2 linked regions of the Neurospora crassa OR74A genome follow. The protein of the gene in region 2 binds, or shares a complex with, the protein of the main gene of each other region. Links are inferred from orthologs where the notes say so. Each region holds a gene or a part of one and is shown on either strand. Other genes may lie near its edges. The genes, in order: NCU05816 and cox-6.

Evidence for each region.
Region 1: the proteins of cox-6 (region 2) and NCU05816 are in contact, whole or in part, in a cryo-EM structure (PDB 7Z10), measured with the Saccharomyces cerevisiae proteins. The link is inferred for Neurospora crassa OR74A from reciprocal best matches to the Saccharomyces cerevisiae genes COX6 and COX9. Residues at the interface, in NP_011918.1 of Saccharomyces cerevisiae: Phe49, Asp80, Leu81, Val82, Pro85, Glu116, Gln120, Ala123, Tyr124, Glu127; in NP_010216.1 of Saccharomyces cerevisiae: Thr2, Ile3, Pro5, Ile6, Thr7, Gly8, Thr9, Ile10, Lys11.

Annotation. Positions count from the first base shown.
Region 1 is NC_026507.1:3,922,404-3,925,916, forward strand, and holds NCU05816 (hypothetical protein), read left to right. Parts: upstream 1-1,535; 5' UTR 1,536-1,776; coding exon 1,777-1,809; intron 1,810-1,954; coding exon 1,955-1,997; intron 1,998-2,282; coding exon 2,283-2,313; intron 2,314-2,436; coding exon 2,437-2,524; 3' UTR 2,525-2,893; downstream 2,894-3,513. Other genes in the region: NCU17277 (hypothetical protein), read right to left, coding at 2,912-3,152, 3,273-3,496. UniProt on the Saccharomyces cerevisiae protein: Component of the cytochrome c oxidase, the last enzyme in the mitochondrial electron transport chain which drives oxidative phosphorylation.
Region 2 is NC_026505.1:4,303,883-4,307,875, reverse strand, and holds cox-6 (cytochrome c oxidase polypeptide VI, variant), read right to left. Parts: upstream 2,324-3,993; 5' UTR 2,187-2,323; exon of another isoform or gene 2,073-2,186; 5' UTR 2,048-2,072; coding exon 1,887-2,047; intron 1,671-1,886; coding exon 1,625-1,670; intron 1,463-1,624; coding exon 1,345-1,462; intron 1,165-1,344; coding exon 1,043-1,164; 3' UTR 599-1,042; downstream 1-598. Other genes in the region: NCU06696 (hypothetical protein), read left to right, coding at 1-38. UniProt on the Saccharomyces cerevisiae protein: Component of the cytochrome c oxidase, the last enzyme in the mitochondrial electron transport chain which drives oxidative phosphorylation.

The sequences.
Region 1 (3,513 bases), on a different chromosome or scaffold from region 2:
CCGAAGGAGAACAACGCCCCGACGACCATGATCTTCACCTCATTTCATGTACGGTCAGAACAAGATGTTCGCAAGAAGACCGTAGCTTTTTACACCGCACGCCACAGAGTCTTCAACGGCGCTTCTACCCCCGGAGCCCTGATTGAGTGCATTGACGTGTTTGCTCCTTTTGGTGGCTGACGGGGCTGCTTGCACCTGGCAAGACATTAACTGTTACAGAAAGAAACAGGAGAAGCAGTTTGCCCCATCTTGATCAATGCCCTCGTAGATCAAATCGGTGCTCGACGTTGGGTCTCATGGAAAACGATGGGTTCTGTGAGTCGTTGTCATTTTTAAATTCTGAGAGGACGAAGAAATGGATGAACTTGCAAGAAATCAGAGACCCGGAAACTGCGTTGCGGGGTGATGCACTGACCACAACCAAGTGCCACGGTACATACCACCCTGCAGTCCTCTTTATATAAGTCTTGCAAGCACCTCCACAACATCAGGCGGACTGGCCACGCATCGGACTGATAATCAGTATAACCATGAAGAAAACGGCGAGCTTGGGAAATAACCAACCTGATTCTACACAATACGATAAATACTCGAGCTGACGGGGACGGATTACGAGTTCTCAGGCTCTGCTATCCTTCACATTCTGTCACTTGAGTCTCGAAGCACCTGCCCGAGACAATATCACCAAAGAGAATTTGCAAATTTGACTGACAACGTCTACAACGACTGTTTCACCAGGTGACTCCAAACAACAACTACGAAGCCGCCACAGTCCTGACGACGATACAGCTTTGAGGTGTCTCGCAGTCCGCCAAAAATTTCATCTATCGGTCTTGATTACGAACAAACTGTACATGTAGGTGTCCGCTTCGTTTGACCACCTCGATCTCTGGTTCGAATCCCTTCGATCCAATCGACAACAAAAATCTGTTTCTGAGCAACACCGCCAGTTGCAACTTTAAGAGTACAGGTGTCTCAGGAGTTCAGCCTCTACACCAGATGAAAGAAAATGGACTTTGAAAGCTGGAAGAACCTGGATATGAACACCGACACATGGTGATACTATTTCGGAATACATTTCCCGTTCATGGTTGGCCATACTAGCGACCTCCAACTCTCAAAATGAGCAGGCGTGTACACAGTCGGAATATCATCCATAGCGGACTCGGAAGGTAAGGATGCGCAGGGACACCAATTTTGAAGGATGCTTTGTGGTTGAACCTTATAATCCAACGGTTCTGAGACCTGGAGAGAGCGTGTAGTATTGGAAAGACATGCACAATAATGTGCATCTTGCCATAAAGTTGAGAAACGATGGACGTCATCGCGACTGGAAAGGCTGCCACCTTATCGATAAGTTCAACGCAGTGCTGCCGCTCCCCAGCCTTACGTAAGCCCACCACATACTGTGGTCGCGAGCGAAAGTAAAAACCCCCCTGTCAGGTACTTTTTTGCACGGACACTATGCGTTTAGTACCTACCCCACTTAATTAAACTTACCCATCACACCAAGTATGAAGGGAACGGTCCGTGATCCAAGATTTGCCGAAAACCCGCAGTTGCCGGCGCTCGCAAGCTTCCGTTCAGCAGCTGCGTCATCACGTGATATGAAGCTTGCAGCTCCCGTGCAGCGAAACCTCAGGTCATCCATTCGGGACAATCTTGAAGCTCCATTTTGAGAGAAGAGAGTTCCAAGCCGTCAAACCGCGCACCCTTCGCTACGATCCGCCCTTTTTTTTCGCAACCACTCAACCGAAACCAGCCCTCTTCGTCAAAATGGCCGCCACCGCTGTCAGACCCATCACCGGTGTACGTGATTTCCGAAGCCTGCGCAAAGAGGACGATTCAATGGCTGTTCGCGACGATGGATGACGGAATTGCGCAATGCCACCAGCGCTCGGGACAAGCTGGACTGGAATACAGGAGGACTAGGGGCTGACTGTTGGGTTTACAGATGCTCCGCCGGGGCCTCATCCTCGACATTGGCATTGCCCTCGGTGAGTTTGGAATTTCTGAATGATAAAAGAGGTGGTCTCTGAAATAAGGCGAAGACGGGAGGCGGGACACGGCGATGTGGAAGACAGAGCAAGAGCTAGGTCGAGCTTCGGCCGGCCGGTGGGCCGTGAATTGGCTACGCGCGCCAGTTACCTAGGATTGCCCACGGTCTCTCGTGCTGTCACCCCGCCATACCGACTTCCCGGAAGCCACCTCCTTCGTTGTTCTTTACCTTTCTTTATCACAAGTTCCCGATCAGCTGACCCTTTGTTTTCTTACTCTTTCAGGTGTCGGCTTCGTTATGGCCAACGGCTACTGGTACGACATATCCTCGATGAATCCTTGACTTTAGTTTGCACGCGACCCGAACCGAAGACGAACTCGCAAACAAATCTCCCGTGCCTTGACTCCGCGATGACTAACCCCTTCCATCACCCGCAGGTACGGCTACCACATGCCCCGCACCAACGCTCGTGACAACTACTACAAGAAGCTCGAGGAGGAGCGTGCTGCCCGCATGGGCGCCTAAATCGATCTACGGACTGGGCGACCGATGATGAAGAACGGAGACGACCTCGATCGATCGCGGAGATGAAGAAGTAACGCAATACTTGGAGCGATACCTGAGGAGGGGGAAGAAGAAGAAGGAAGAAGGAAGACTTGCATGTTGTATATCTACAGATGAAGACGGATAGACAAACATCGGCAATCGAGTCAGCCCGACCGATACGTATTCCTTACTTTCTCTTCTGCCTTGTGATAGACCATTTATAAAGGCCAGATGGTGGCCGGGTATTTCATAGACGGGACACGACGGGACGATGCAATGCAAAGCAACTAGAGATTAAGAACGGGATCCTCCTCGTTGGACACAAGACCAAGAAATTGTAAAAAGATGGGTATCAGAATAAAAACATCACTTTCTGTTCCACCATCTATCCTCCTTGTCGTCCTCTCTGCCCCATGTGCGATGATCGATCTGCTGGTGCTGCTCCTGCTCGGCCAATGAGCTTTTGTTGCTGGCCGATGTCGCTTTGGCTGCTGCTGCTGCTGCTGCTAACGATGACGATGATGATGTCGTTGCTGCCGCAGCCGCAGCCGCGGTGCCCTCCCAAGCCGTTGTCTCGACCGTAAAAGGCCCATTTTTGTCCCGGCATCTAGATGGTTTGGTTCCCCACGTCAATGTCAATGTCAACGTTTCCTTTTCCCTTTTTCTTTTTCCCCTTTTCTTCTAAAAATGCGACAAAGGGAATTTCCCCTTCCTAAAAAAGACATACCTGCGAAACAAGCGCTGCACTGGCCAACACTCAATCTGGCTCTCCCTCAACTCCGGGTCGCGCACCTGGCAGTCATACTGCAACAGACCAAAGAGCTCGCAATCCCGAAGTAGATCGATTCGTCGTCGACCACCGTCTTCCGTCTTGCGAACACGCTGATCGGGGCCGACTTGTATGTGGGTGGGCAAAGCCTTTGCTTTGAAGCTTTGACACGGCGGCGTCATTTTGTCTGTTTGTCTGT
Region 2 (3,993 bases):
TAAACTTTAACCCCCGGTGGGGGCACCTCCGTGATTAGGGCAAGACGAATAGGAGTTAGAACCGAACCTGGGGGTCGGAGAGCGAGATCGTTGGGTGCTTGAGAGAAGGAAAGAATGGCTCGGCTGTCGGTCGATGACTGCAGCTGTTTTCCTGGTTCGTGACCAAGGACCGAGACAAAGACAACGATTAAGATGGCTTCAGGTCAGCTTTCCTTATGTCCCTGTCAACGGTGGAATGGTTGGTGAAACGATTGTTTGCTTATTGCTTGTTACCTATTGGTCTTTTTCTTCTTCTTCTTTCTCTCCAGCCGGTAGGAATATCTTTTCACAATACCCATCTCCCTATCTTACATCTTACGGTTCATTAGATCGATTGTTTTCATTTTCTTTTGTATGGTTCAAGGTACTCAGGTTGCATTTGAGGATCGAGGGATGCACATGAAAGAGGTTGAGGCACTCGGCGCATTGGGGTTACCTTTTTCTAGATACTTACTCTACCTGCTATGGATAAAGGCAATAGAATCCAGGTAGAACCAGGCATGACAATCGTGAATCTGGTCAATCTCTTATGACGAATGGTAACCAGCATCCAGCTTTTGTAAAATCTATGGTAAACTCATTACTGCCTTTCGAATACATCTATTTTGCTGCTCTCTACGATCATGGCATGGGATATTCATCGTCCAAACACAATCCGTGACACAACCAACTGTTATCGTATCCAACTCGACAAACAGGTTGAACTCGTTCGATTCCTCTCTCTAAGGCCCTCTTGGATATACTACGCCCTTACTTCCTGCAATAGGAGTTCTCTAGGCAAAGAAACATGTATGGTACCAGGGAATTAGCGTTGAGTGCGCTCTCCTATTCATAGGTTCCAAGCACACACGCTACGCTTTCCCCTTCCACAAACTCCCCCTCCTCTCGCCACAATACTCTCATATCCCCTCTTTTCAAACTTCCAAAGATTCTGGGAGAATAATTGATGGGTCGTTGGAATGGTGATTCTCATGGCATCTTCTAAGTTACGTTGGTCCTAAATTTAGTTGGCCTCCTCGGGGTAGAGGTCCTCCTTGAGGGTGATGCCGAGCTCCTCACGAAGAGGCTTGAGCTCAGCGAGGTACTGCTCGTACTGGCCCTTGTTCTCAACCTTGGCCTTGATGCCTGTTATGACGGAAGCCCGTTGTCAGCATGGTTCTGGTTCCTAAAAGACCGTTTTGCTGTTCCCTATCCACCCGAGCTTATCGGACACCTTGGTATTGACGCATAGGCTGGTCGTCGATGGCTACGATGTGTGCGGGTTTCGGTGGCGGCAGTGATGGATGTTAGGACGGGGGCTCTTACCCTCGAAGACGCGGACAGCGGTGGGGAAGTCGTTGACGCGGCGGGCAGCCTTGAGAGCGGCGGCGAGAACGGAGGGGGAAGGGACGAGATCGTAAGCGAAAGCGTTGTTCAGGTTGCGCTAATTTCGGTATGCCAGCGTCAGTCTCACAGTCTCTTCCTTCCCTTGCCCCTACCCAACAAGTTGAATCATTGTTGTCCCTTGATCGATAATGCAAAAGGTGCGTCGTCGAGTAGGCCGTGAGAGTCGAAGTGGGACGGGAGCATGGAAGGTGGTGCATACCTGAAGCTCGAAAACATCCTGAACGGCATCAAACTCCTTCTCGTAGCTGTTGGAAAAGGCGCAAGTTAGGAATTGGGGAGTTCTCGAGGGCGCATGGAGGTGTTGATGGGGTGGCCCTGGCTGAGGCTGAGGGGAGGAGAGTCGGAGGCATCACGTCATAGTGAAGCCGAGCTAGGATAGGCAGGTAGCTAGCTCGGGCCTGGGACCTCCGGGGCTCGGAGAGGTAGCAGCTTCCCGGCCGGGCTGCCGGGGCAAAACTCACCGGGCAGTGAACTCCTCGAAGGTCTCCTCGTGGTGCTCGGAGCGGAAGCGGCTGGAGGTGCTGAAAAGGCTGACGCGGGCGGCGATGGGCTGGGGGCGGGCAACGGCGCGGAAGAGGCCGGCGGAGGGACCGCGGACGGCAGTGCGGAAGAAGGAGGCCATTGTGACGGAAGGACGGAGGGGGCTACTAGAAGATGAGAATTGAGAGCACACGGTAAGAAGCTGGAACTGCGAAGCGAGAAGACCGGGGGGGAAGAAAAGGCAAGGCGGTAATTGGCGGCGGAGACGGAGAAGCACGCACGTTACGTAGAGGGAGGTACGGTAGCTGAGATGATGGTCTCAATTAATGCTAACGAGGTTGAGGTTCGATGGTGTGCGACGTAAATGCTTGTTCAACCCAAGTGGAAGTCTCCGGTATTGCACTGCATCGGACCATTCGAATACTTCGGCTATGTCTTTTCCGGTTAGCTGACTAGCTGTGTTTTTTCCGCCCTCGAGGTACTTCTGGACAAGCCACTCGGTGGTCAGTGCACAAGCTCCCTAAGCTCACCTTTCCAATTCGTACATGAGCTTGGTATGCAATTGAACAGACAACAGCCCACTTTTCCGCACCAGTAGTGGCTGAAGTGGCTGAAACATTTCTTTAACTTCATAATGAGGCTGATGTCGAAGCAACAGAACGTGGGGTACCTATAACGCCTTCCTGCAGCGAGCCGGATAAATCGACTGTGTGCTCAGATGAATCCGCTGTGTGGAGCCCATACAAACTGACAGCCAAGACCCAAAGCTTGGCATCTCTCGCGCCAAACTTTCGCGATCGCAAGTCATCACCAAAATATCATTGTCTCGACAACGACAACGAAAGCTCAAAACGACTTTTTCTAAAGCGTTGAACTCTCATTTATATGCGGGGGCCTCTCACCGGCCCCCTGCACCCCCGGAACTAACCCTAACACCTAACCCTAACCACTAACCCTAACACTAACCTTGGGGGTAGCCCGCGAATTGCTATACAGTCGATTTATCCATCCAACACAGTCGATTTATCCGATCCGTCCTGCAGCGATGATGCAACCAGTGCGTGTTGCTCATGTCGGTCTTTCACACAATGAAGTGGTGTCTGTTGTTGCGGACATTCACTTCAACTCATCATCGTGTTGACCTTGATATCCCTCACTTTTTTTCTTAGACAATTCCCAGGATTGGGAACATTTGAACCGGCAAGCGCTGGAGATTTACGGATCAACCTATTTATCATCGGAAGAAATTGACTGCCAACCGAATGTTTTGACCGGCACATGGTCTCGTCATCTCAGGATTCACGGCTTGTACACTCGTGTATTTGTGGGTGGATGAATGATGGGCTGATCGAAAGCCAGTATGTAGTTCGGAGAGAGTAGAAAACGCGTCTTGTAGTATTGGTGGGTTGGGGTTGTTGAACAGGCGAGAGCCGCGAAACCTCAAAAAAATGGACTCGATTGAATCATTGAACAAACCGAATTTGTATACCCGCTGGTCAATGTCTTACCGTAGCACTGGGCCACCCCAGGTTGTGAGCTCAATCGCTGGAGGGCAAGCCATTCACCTTCTCTTATACGCACCGTTGGTTCGGGCTCGCCTGGGTGTTTGAACGTCCTCGTATCAATTTCCACGATATCTCTTCCTGATAACCAAGTTGTGAACGTCCTGCACTAGCTACTTCCCCAAACCTCGGCATGGACTCTACACTACTCGTTTGATCAAGAGTTAGCCCGTTGCGGCCCGACAGTTGACGCTCTGCATGATGAACGAGGTATCCGATGTAGGGGGTTGTAGCTATTTGGTGGACCTTGAACGGCCTAGAAGACTGCCCCCAAGTCTCGAGTCAATCATCGATCTCATCCGTGTTTCAACGGGCATGTTGATTTTTGGTAGGACCGACCCTTTTCGATGGAGCCCGCGTTGAGTCGCACCGGAACACTCACGAGATACGATTGATGAACCCCGATGTGAAATAGCTACACTGCAATCTCATCACGGGCTTCGCCGCGCCTCTCCACTGTCATCAATGTCATCAGTTAAGGTCATTATCGGTCATGAGTGGCAGTAGCTATTTCGATGTCTTAAGA